Rattus norvegicus: one gene and its partner. The protein of the gene in region 1 purifies or fractionates together with the protein of each later gene. This does not show direct contact. Links are inferred from orthologs where the notes say so. Each region holds a gene or a part of one and is shown in the gene's direction. Other genes may lie near its edges.

Region 1 (5,386 bases):
TACATCTCTCATGGCATCCGGAGGAGACCAAGAAACTATGTATTTCCATGACCTGCCCTTAATCACATGCCATATTGCCACCTTCAGAAATTACAGCAGATTCTCTAGTCCATCAGCCTCTGTGAGGGTATTCCTGTATTGGAGTGACAGGTCACATTCATAAAAGGGACATGCAGCCATATACCATAGAGGAAGAAGACAGCCGCCCTGGGTTTCCCCTCAGAGACGTGCAGCTTCAGCGGCACGTCTTATTCGTATCAGACACATGACTGCCGCTCCAGCAAGAAGGCACAAGGTCCCATATCACCGCAACAGAGTAACCGTCTGAGGATTGCCACATCAACGCTCCACCTTCAGTTGGATCATTCACTCTTGCCTGTGTCTCACTCATATCAGGGGGTCATATGACCCCCTCCTCTCGGAATCAACTTTCAGCTTCTCCCAATTCAGGCACCAATTTTGACCTTTTTTTTCCTCCCTGGGGAGATTTGAACCGGTCTCTCTAATCACCTCAGATAGGACAGAGAACAGAACAAAGAAACAGATTGGTTCACTGGAGTTACTTACAGGTGCATGGATGAGGGGTTATCTGTAGGCGTAGGGGTGGTTCAAGGGCATTTGCATACCTGGCAGCCCACTCTCAGAGCACCATCAATGATCTAATAGTTTCCCACTAGGACCCACTTCTCAAAGGGGCCGCCAATCTGCACAACACGCTGGAGACCAAGCCTCCAGCACATGCATCTTCTGAGGTCAGAACCACAGGAAGTGGGGGGGAAAAACCCCCGAGCAACATTATAAACCAGTAGGTTCTGACAGACACCACAGAAGATGGCACAGACAAAGTGAATGTTTTCTCAAGTGCATAGACAGGTCACAATGTAAGTCTCCCTAAAATGTTTTAAGCTAAAATGATTCAAGGTATTTCCTTTATTTTTCAATTCATTCTTCTCTCCTATATCACATCCCTGACCCCAGTTTCCCTCCCTCCTCCCGTCCCAGTGTTTCCCCTTCCCCCAACTCCTTTCCTCCCCCCACCCCCACCCCAGTCCTCCCACCACTTCTCAAGGGCAACCAAATAAGGCATATCAAGTTGCAATAAAGCTAGGCACCTCTCCTCATACAGACCAGGCAACCCAGTAGGAGGAAGAGTCCCAAAAGCAGGCAAGAGTCAGAGACGGCCCCCTCCTCGTGGAGTCCTGCTAGAAGAGAAAGCTCCACAGCCTTAATATTACATGCAGAGCGCCTGGGTTAGAACCATGCAGGGTTTCCGATTGCCACTTCGGTCTCTGTGAGCGCCCTATGAGACCAGGTTAATTGATTCTGTAGGTTTTCTTGAGGTCTGTGTCCTTGACCCCTCTGGCTCCTACAATCCTTCCTCCACCTCTTCTGCAAGATTCCCCGAGCTCCCGCCTGATGTTTGGCTGTGGGTCTCTGCATCTATTTCCATCAGGGACTGGCTGAAGCTCCTGCCTACCAGTATAGCAGACTTGTTCGGGGGGGGGGGGGGTTGTTTTGTTTTGTTTGATGTCGTTGGTTCGTTGTTGTTGTTGGTTCGTTTTTTGCCGTTGTGTCTCTGGGCTATTCAGCTCTGCTTCATGGCTTTCCACGGCGTCAGGGATGGGCTCCCCTTAAACCGGACCAGTCATTGATTGGCCACTCCCACAGTTTCCGTACCACCTTTACCCCCAGCACCTTTACCCCCTTGTAGGCAAGACAAGTCATAAGTAGAAGGTTTTGTGGCTGGGTTGGTGTCCCAGTCCCTCCATCAGAAGTCTTGCCTATTTACAGGAGATGACCCATTCAGGCTCCATGTTCCCTACTGCTAAGAGTCTCAGCTTATGCAAGATACTCTTGTAAGCAAAGTGTGTTAAACACTGATAACCAAGGGTTTGCCAACATAGAGGAAGAACTCTCTTGTAACTAGGGGAACGGGAAGTCTCAGCGACAAGCTTATGAGAGAATGGCTGTCTCAAGGGCTCCAGCACACGACTCGGCTCGTCAGAGGATGGTCTGGCTGTTTCCACTTGTCTTCTGCCTCGGCACAGGTAAAAATGTGTGTGGAAATGGATGAAGTCGCTGAGTGAGTTCCTTCTTTGGGCCGCCTTGCTCATCTTGATCAGGCTGACTGCCAGGTTCTCTGTTCAGAGACTTAGGAAGTTCACATTGGTCCTAGCAAACTACTTCCTTCCATCAGACTGCTTGGGGACTGATTTAGGGCAAACATTTCAGCTGGAGCTGAGAGGAAGGGAAATGTTTTCTGAGGTATGGAAAATGAGTCTTTGTAAGTCAGGACTGTTCGTGACCAGCATGTTATGGTACAAAACTAAGTTTAAGGGGTAAAAAAAAAAATCTACAATTTAACTACTGTGATGCTGTGTAACTTCAGGGGGATTCATGATCTTTTCTGAGTTTCACTCTTCACACAAATATTGAAAACCCCCGCAATGTTTTCACACTGCAATTAGGAAGGGATTGAATGAGCCTGCGTCTCCTCCCTCCTACCTGTTACATGGATAGCAGGAAGGTTCACACTGTGTTTGAGAACTCAGAGGGTGTGCATCTGGACTGAAATGTAGTGTTCTAGGACAGGAGATCAAGCAAAGGCTGCTAACACAGACCTAGCCCCGAGGGAAATCATTGGGAAAAAAAAGGCGACTAGCATTTATTTTATTCCAGAAAATGGACTAGTTATTAAACATGCATTACGTTTAGATGTCTCATAACCTATTTGTGAATGTATTCTATTAATAGCTACAAGGAACTTGACTAAGACATTTTAAATAACTTGCCAAAATTCTATTAGTCATCAGGAAAAAAATAAAAAATAAAAACGAATCACTTGACAGAAACTGTCGGTAACACACACATGGGAGCATGCACAGAGAAGTGAACACATACTGCACAGACAGAACTAAGTAGACAAATCGACAACAGACATAAAAAGGAAGCAAGGTTCATTAAGGCATTTGATAACCATTCATTAGATGGCTACTGAATGCCTGACACGGTAGGAGTTTCAGGAACTAAGTCAGCGCAATTTCTGTTCTTGTGGATAAACTATAAACAAGTAAAATGCACCAGCTTAGGACAAATAATTTTGAAAAAAATAAGCAGAGAGGGGCGGGGAGGGAGAACATAATGTCACATCGTAGGTTGGACAGTCAAAGAGAGGGATAGAGTTGGGGTGGAGGAGCAGCCACGGGAGGAAGGTCATTTCCTCTTTGGATCTATTTTGTTTTACGTTATCAATACACTGGCCAAGAGGAAGTTTCCTGGAAGCAGGTGAAAACTGAGGCATTAGGCTGAGAACCGAGACTACCTCAAACTAGGAGGATGAGGGATTGAGGACAGAACTTTGGGAAATGCATAGAAGATGCAGAAAAAGATGAGAATTATTTAACTCCCATCCATCCATGTTGCCACTTCTCAGCCCAATTCCAGCCAGCGACTTGAGGTTTTAACCTCACTTTTTTACCTCTATGTCAAGACCAGTCAGACCCACCCCTCCCTCAGGACTTAGAAGTGATTAATGGTTGGCTGGGGAGGGAAAGACATTTTCCTAGGTAGTGTGGCCACTTGTAAGATGTCCTTGCCTCTGTACATAGCCCTTTCCCCCATGCTCCTATGAGCAACCCTAAGAAACTCATTGGCTTATCAGAGAAAGAAAAAAAAAAGAAAGGAAGGAAGGAAGGAACTGAAGGACTGGATTATAAAACTGGATAATTTCTGTGTGTTCCTCCTCCGCATCTCTGAGGGTTCTTCTTCTAACACCGCTGTGAAATATCAGACTCAGCCACCATCTGCAGATGTGCATAGAAGAGGCCGACAGAGCCTAAGTAACAGTTTACTGCCACACAGCTGTGGGGGAGGGGTATGAAGAAAAGAACATGGTTTTGACTTCGTCTTCCTGAGATAGATGCAGGTGGCCAAAAACCCCTCAGTGGAGCGGAACTGTGGTTACCAGGGTGGAAAGTGGCGGGTCTGGTTCCAGGGTACAACTAAGCAGGGGACACCAAAAATAGGAGAACCTCTCTGGACTGGGTGGTGAGGAAGAACTTTCTGGAATAGGTGAAATGATGTGAGAAATGAAATAGGATTCTAATAAAGAAGCATGGGAGGGAGGCGGAAGTGTAGAAGGGGAGAGTTGGGAAGGATTGAGGAAAGATGAGACCACCCCAGCAAGTATGTAGGCCAAAGAGATGCTCTCTGAGAAGAAGATGACTCACTCACTCACTACACGTTTTCATGTAGGTGAGACACATCCTGATTCCATTTCAGAGTCTCAGCTCAAAGATAAACCAAGTTGCAAAACGTTCATGTGCATGTACAGTGCTAATTTGTTCTGTGTGTTTACAAATGATGTGTGGCGGTGAGAGGTGGACATCCATTGTGTATCTTTCATGACTGCTCCTCTGCCTTTAGTCTTTTGAGACAGGACTCTCAGTGAACTTGAAGCTTGTTCCTTTGGCTGGGCTGACTGGCCAGTAAGCCCCTCGGAACCTCCTCCCTCCCCAGTGCTGAGATTAGAGCAATAGGTCGGTTCACTTGGCTGCTGGGATCTGAATCTAGATGGCCCTTTGCCATCACATCAGCCCCCTTCATTCCCTTTGTCTCATTTCCTTGGAGGCAAAGCTAACCCGCCATGTGACATGACAGTTCTACTCTTCAGGGCACAGCAGGTCCTCTTCCATTACCTGCACACGATTAGGCCTAACAACATCCCGCCATGAAGGAAGGACCAGTCCTTCATGTCAAGACCAATCAGGTCTACCCCTCCCTCAGGACTTAGAAGTGATTAATGGTTGACTGGAAAGGGAGAGACCTTTTCTTAGATAGTGTGGCCACTTGGAAGATGTCCTTGCCTCTGTACATATCCATTTCCCCCATGTTCCTATGAGCAACCCTGAGAAACTCATTGGCTTATCAGAAAAAGGAAAAAGGGAGGGAGGAAGGAAGGAAGGAAGGAAGGAAGGAAGGAAGGACTGAAGGACTGGATTAACTCACGAAGGGGTCAAAAGAAAATAACTAAGGTAAATAAGATCAAATTACAGGGGGTTGGGGATTTAGCTCAGAGGATTTTATTAGAATACAACTCAGAGAGGGGATGCTCTGGCTCTGCATTTCTAAGGAGCCCCGGGGTGATAATGCTCTTACCTATCTATCAATCCGTGGGCCACACCTTGAGTAGCCAGGTTCTGAAGTGTAGTCACACTGAAACTGGTGCCAGAGAAAAATGGGAACTAAATTCTCCGGGTGAGTCTGAAGGAAACATACAGGTGCTCTGAGGCCCAGGGGAGAACCATGGCTGCGTGTTTAGATAAAGAAAAGGCACAGGGGCTGCCTCTGAAATCGCCCTCCCTCCTGCGCTCTCCTCTTCTCTCAC
Region 2 (5,149 bases), on another chromosome or scaffold:
GAAGTTTGAATTTGCCAAAGACAGGCTCAGGCTTACTGCCTGTGTAGCAGCCAAGCAAAGATGTCAGTATTTTTCATCAACACTGCACTGGTGGGCTGGCACACCTGTCAGTTTGCTTGTGAGGTGACAATAAGGTACTGGATGTGAGAGCTGTACTATTACCTTATAATTTAACTGTTCTCTTTTGATGCGATGTTCGTTGTGCTGAAGCCCACTGTACCTGGCTGCTTTGACAAGTGTGCTATTTTAGCAATGCAGAATGAAACAGAAAGAAAAGAATGCATGGGATGCTGGCTTCGTCAGATCCAGGTTTCTCTGTTCCTATGTTTGTAGATGATTTGTACAGAGTTGTTCAGAGACCAAAAAGAAAATGGTTAGGTTTTGTTTTAAACCTATGTGACACTCAATGTTCTAGCAGTTACACTATAGGTGGGGTGCTGTCCATATGACTCAATAAAAGAGGATCCCCTTTTTCTTTTCATATTTAAAATGCCTCATTGTAATTGATTTCAAAAGTATTAGCTTTGTTTCCAATAGAGTCCTGGTTAGGTGAACCTCTGATGTTTTTAACATGGATGTAGGTAGGCATTTATGTATGAGAATAGAAGTTACAACACAGTTATCAACCCCTGTGCAGTGACGCAAAGTGGATTTTATATTCACAATGATTCTGGCCTAGCCCCATACACCAAAGGGTGCATAGAAGGTCACATACAACAAACTGGACAGAAAACTCCCACAAGCCAGCAGCCCTATAGGAAGAACTACAGGCAGCTGAGTAAAACCGGGTGTAGTGGTCACCGTAGGGAAGGGCATACTAATTGCTCATCCAGTACCAGATGGCTAGCCCTGAAAACGTACATACAAATAGCATTAGACAGATACAACTGTATCTGTGTAACGTGCTCAGGAATTATATGAACATGCATATATGCATGTGATAACGATGCTGAAGGAGAACAGGGTTCGTTCGATGGTGAAAAGGGTGAAAAGGGAAAGAAGAAATGCTTGGATTTTAATAACGATGATGATGATGATGATAACGCGCCAATAGAAGGATTTGCTCTTTTTAAGCCCTTCAGTTATCTGCAATATTTTGTAATACCATGACAATTTTTTTGTGTGTGTGACTAAACTGATACTTTTGGATCTTGGAAAAAAAACATTAAGGTAAAAAATCTTTGCTTGGGCCTAAGTGTATTCAAGGATTTGGCATACGGCTTAGAGGTAGAAAACTTCATCTGGGAGGTCCCGGACTCTGTCATCATTGAAGAAAAGAGAGTTTTTTCAGGAACATCTAGTCCCAAAGTGCACAGTTCAATAGTACTTGGGAATGCTGTGGAAGCTTCAGAGCCAGACTCTGGTTTTGTAGTTGGGCTGTTTTTATGCTTTTGTTTTGTCAGGCCGTTTCTGCCCCTCATGATGACAAGTACCATTTACCTCTATCAGCCATTCTTTTGTTCACCAGTTCAGCCAAGTCATTGCCGAGGGCTTCACAGGTTGCAGGAACCACACAAGAAAAGCCCTATCAAGCTTCTCATCTTTGTGCAAGCTCTGTCTGCATTGCTGGCACAGCTCAAATGCTGCAAGTGTTCACTTTTCCAGTGTGCCCCTCCCCCACCACGAACTCTGTGTTGGAGACTAGGGTGATCAAACCCATGACAAGTTTGAACCTGTTAAACTGCTGAGCTGGCCTTAATTGAAGTGTGAGAAGAGGTTTTAAGGCAGGTAGACAACATCCTGTTGTTAGGGTGCTCATTTCTCTCTCTCTTTTTTTTCATACTGGCTGCCCTGGGAGTCAGGTGGCTGATTGTGCCCAGCAAGCCACTGCAGCAGCAACAGCAGCAGCGCAAAGTCTTCCTCTTACCATCGTCCTTCTGAGCCCATCAAAGAGTTTGCTAGGCATGGATGCGGTGACTGTGTACCACGGCAAAATCAGCAGGGAGATGGGGGAGAAGCTCTTACTCGCTACGGGGCTGGATGGAAGCTATCTGCTGCGAGACAGCGAGAGTGTCCCTGGCGTGTACTGCCTGTGTGTTTTGTGAGTACATCTTGTGGTCATGGCAGGCTTATAGCATGTGTATCCTGCCCTTTCAGGGGAGGTCCGGGGGGGAGTGGCAGGGGAGGGGGTTACAACTCTTGGCAAAGGAACAGAGGGAATACAGGCAGCAGGAACTGAGTACTCTTCCAGTTCTTACTGGCCCAGGACTCTGCCCAGGGGTGTGGCAGGCAGTACTTGGATGTATGTCCCTCCCTGGGGATTTATCTACTGCATTTCCCCAGTTCGGTTGTGGCAGCTTCACTGAATAGCCTTCAGAATGGGAAAACATGGCCTAGAATTTACCTTTACTTTGAGAAAGGCCCATATTCTAGACTTCGGCTCTGGAGCTCTGGGATGTTGGACTATTTTGTCTTCTGGGCCACGAATTAAGGCAAAGGAAAAGCTTTCTCTATCAATCTCTACAAGTGTGATTGAAAATGGTACCCCAAAAGAAAAGCATCTAACAAATGCTCGGAGAAGTGGCCAACCAGGAAATGGAATTCATTATTTTCGGAATGCCCCTCAGGGAAGGCAGAGGCAGACAGATGTGTGTGAGTTACAGGTAGCTACCCTGGTTAACACAGCCGGTTCCATGCCCACCAGGGCTACACAGTGTACGACCCTAATGAACAACAACAAAGAACACTAAAGCAGCACAGCTCTGGAGAGGAAGTGTGTGAAAGAGCAGAGGTGCCTTTCTCGTGATGCTGTTACCTTGCTTATAAGAGGCGGAATGAGTTTAAAAACGTGGTGTGTCCCGTAAAAGATAGGACTGACAATAAATAGTTTTAAAGAGCACAGAAAGAAAACATCATTCTTCTGACCCCACTTTGACCTTTGCCTAGACTGTTCTCAGCCTCTTGCCCCATTTTGAACCAGGTGCAGCTGCATCCTGGCTCCCAACCTCCCCGAGCGAACCCTACCGTAGTTGGACTCTAAAGCTTGTTCTCTCCGAAAATCAGTCTCTTAGCCCTTGATTTTAAATGGGTTTCATATTCCAAGGGATGATGAAGATGATGCCTCCATGTATTAGAAAAGAAAAAGTAAATGCTGGGCTTTGATACTCAACAGATATGTCTGGTTTATTATTGGTCTCTTTTTGGACAAATTATTTCAGTACTTCTTGAGGAAGTCTCCAGAAGGACCCAGTTTAGGCACTACTGTAAGCAGGGTATTCACACACACACACACACACACACACACACACACACACACACACACACACAGCCTCATTCTAGTACAGTACAGTCTACCTAAAAGCAAAAACAAAACAGTGCTTGGTAGTGAGTTCTGTACATGATGATACACTGCAAAAATTTGAAGTAGTTTCTGGGCCAGAAAATAAAGATTAAATTGAGGCTGGTGTGAAAGGATTGTCATTGTATATTGATTTTTTAAAAATGGCCAAGCCTTACTTTTGGCAGTTTGCAGATCATGCCAAATACATTCATCATAAAGGCTTCAAGGTAAATATATGGAAAAATAATTTTTCAGTGTTGGGGAGAGAATCCAAGAATCCAAGATTTTACATGAGCCTCCAAAATGCTTTTTTTTTTTTTTTTACTAAGCTAGACACCCAGCCCTGGGCTTGGACCTTCATGTTCCTAAGTGGATCCCTAAGAAGAGCTGGGAAAGCCAATGACACTCCTTAGGGTATTTTTTTCTTGTGAAAAGATGAAGGATGGTGAGTGAAACAGGTTGCTTTGGACACACTGATAATAGAGGTAGCATGCTCCTTAACCAAAAGGAAAAGATAAAAGTTCAAATGCAGCCTATGTAGGGGAGAGGGCTGGAGACAGTGTACCTCAGATTTGTGCTTTTCATAGCACCCGATCACCTCTGTTAGGTAACTAAGCCTGCTTCCTTCTCAGGATTTTACACCTGTATTCGACATTACATCTCCTGATCATTAACGAACCTAAGTGGCCTCTCTGGGCTGCTACCCGATTACCTTTATTCAAGGAACTTTAAACTTACTAACATTAGCTTGTTTACTTATATGTGGGGTCTACCACAAACTACCTTCATGAAGGAGCAAACATGGTCTCCAGTACCAGGAGCATATCCTGGTACATAATAGGCACTCAGCACACAATTTGGAATTAGATGAACTGTTCAGCCATATTGTACTCTTCATTAGCAAGAGCATCGGGCTAAGAGGCCAGGGTGGGGGCTCTAGGAAGTCACTCAAGTTCTCTGGGGCTTCACCTTACATCTGCGTAAAATAGAAACCGGTTGTTATAAAACATGGTTGTAAGTGAAATCTTGAAGAAAAGAAACCTTGGTGTTTGGGCACATAGGCCGGAACCATGTAAGGAAATTCTCAGCCTTCTGGTTTTCACTGACAGGGGATGCTGTATAAATGTAAGGTGTTTGCTTGTTTCTTTTGTTTTTTGTTTTTGGTTTTTTTTTTTTTTTTTTTGCTTGCTGTTGACCAATTTCATTTTGAAAACCTTTTCCTATAGACGTGGTGAATTCTCTACCTTGAGTCTCTAGCCCTGTTTATGGGTTTTCACAGTTATGGCCAGAAAACTGTGGAGGAAAGAGACAAGAAAAATAAGAGGAATGTTTTCCTCGCCTTTGATAAGTGCTTCAGGTTTTGTTTGTTTTTAGTTGAGTGTCCCCTTGGAGATACACAAACATTTTGTTCTCTCTCACTGGCACTACATGGTATGTGCAACATGTTATTTGGAACATAACGTACTTCCTAACTCAAAATACTGAATTGTAGGATGAAGAGTAGAAAGAAAATAAATCATATATGCATGAAAAAACCTACAACAATGGTGGCTTGCTCAGTGGCATCTTATTCCATGTTTTGTTTATTCTCATTAACCAAGAAGGTGTTCTTAAACTTCAACTCACTCTATTTTTATTGTATGGTTCAAACCATGCTTAAAATTGTCCTTTCAAACAATATGTGCCTCTTTCCTAGAGTGAATCTCAGACATGACCTTTTTGTCCTGTTAGTTTTTCAAAAACAAAATGTTTTAAACAATGTAAAAGTCTCCCATTTCTAGGATTGCTACCCTTCATTTAAAACAAGAAGCGTTTCTTCCAATTGTTTGCTCTAAATAAAAATGAGAATTAAGAGTTCATCAAAATAGT

What was found. The genes of interacting proteins can lie anywhere in the genome.
Region 2: the proteins of Slamf6 (region 1) and Sh2d1a purify together in Homo sapiens (co-immunoprecipitation; 5 studies listed by BioGRID and IntAct, with this or other methods). This does not show direct contact. The link is inferred for Rattus norvegicus from reciprocal best matches to the Homo sapiens genes SLAMF6 and SH2D1A.

What each region holds. Positions count from the first base shown.
Region 1 is NC_086031.1:86,914,993-86,920,378, forward strand, and holds the start of Slamf6 (SLAM family member 6), read left to right. Parts: upstream 1-1,963; coding exon 1,964-2,048; intron 2,049-5,386. UniProt on the Homo sapiens protein: Self-ligand receptor of the signaling lymphocytic activation molecule (SLAM) family.
Region 2 is NC_086039.1:126,237,512-126,242,660, forward strand, and holds the start of Sh2d1a (SH2 domain-containing protein 1A), read left to right. Parts: upstream 1-1,688; 5' UTR 1,689-1,904; coding exon 1,905-2,041; intron 2,042-5,149.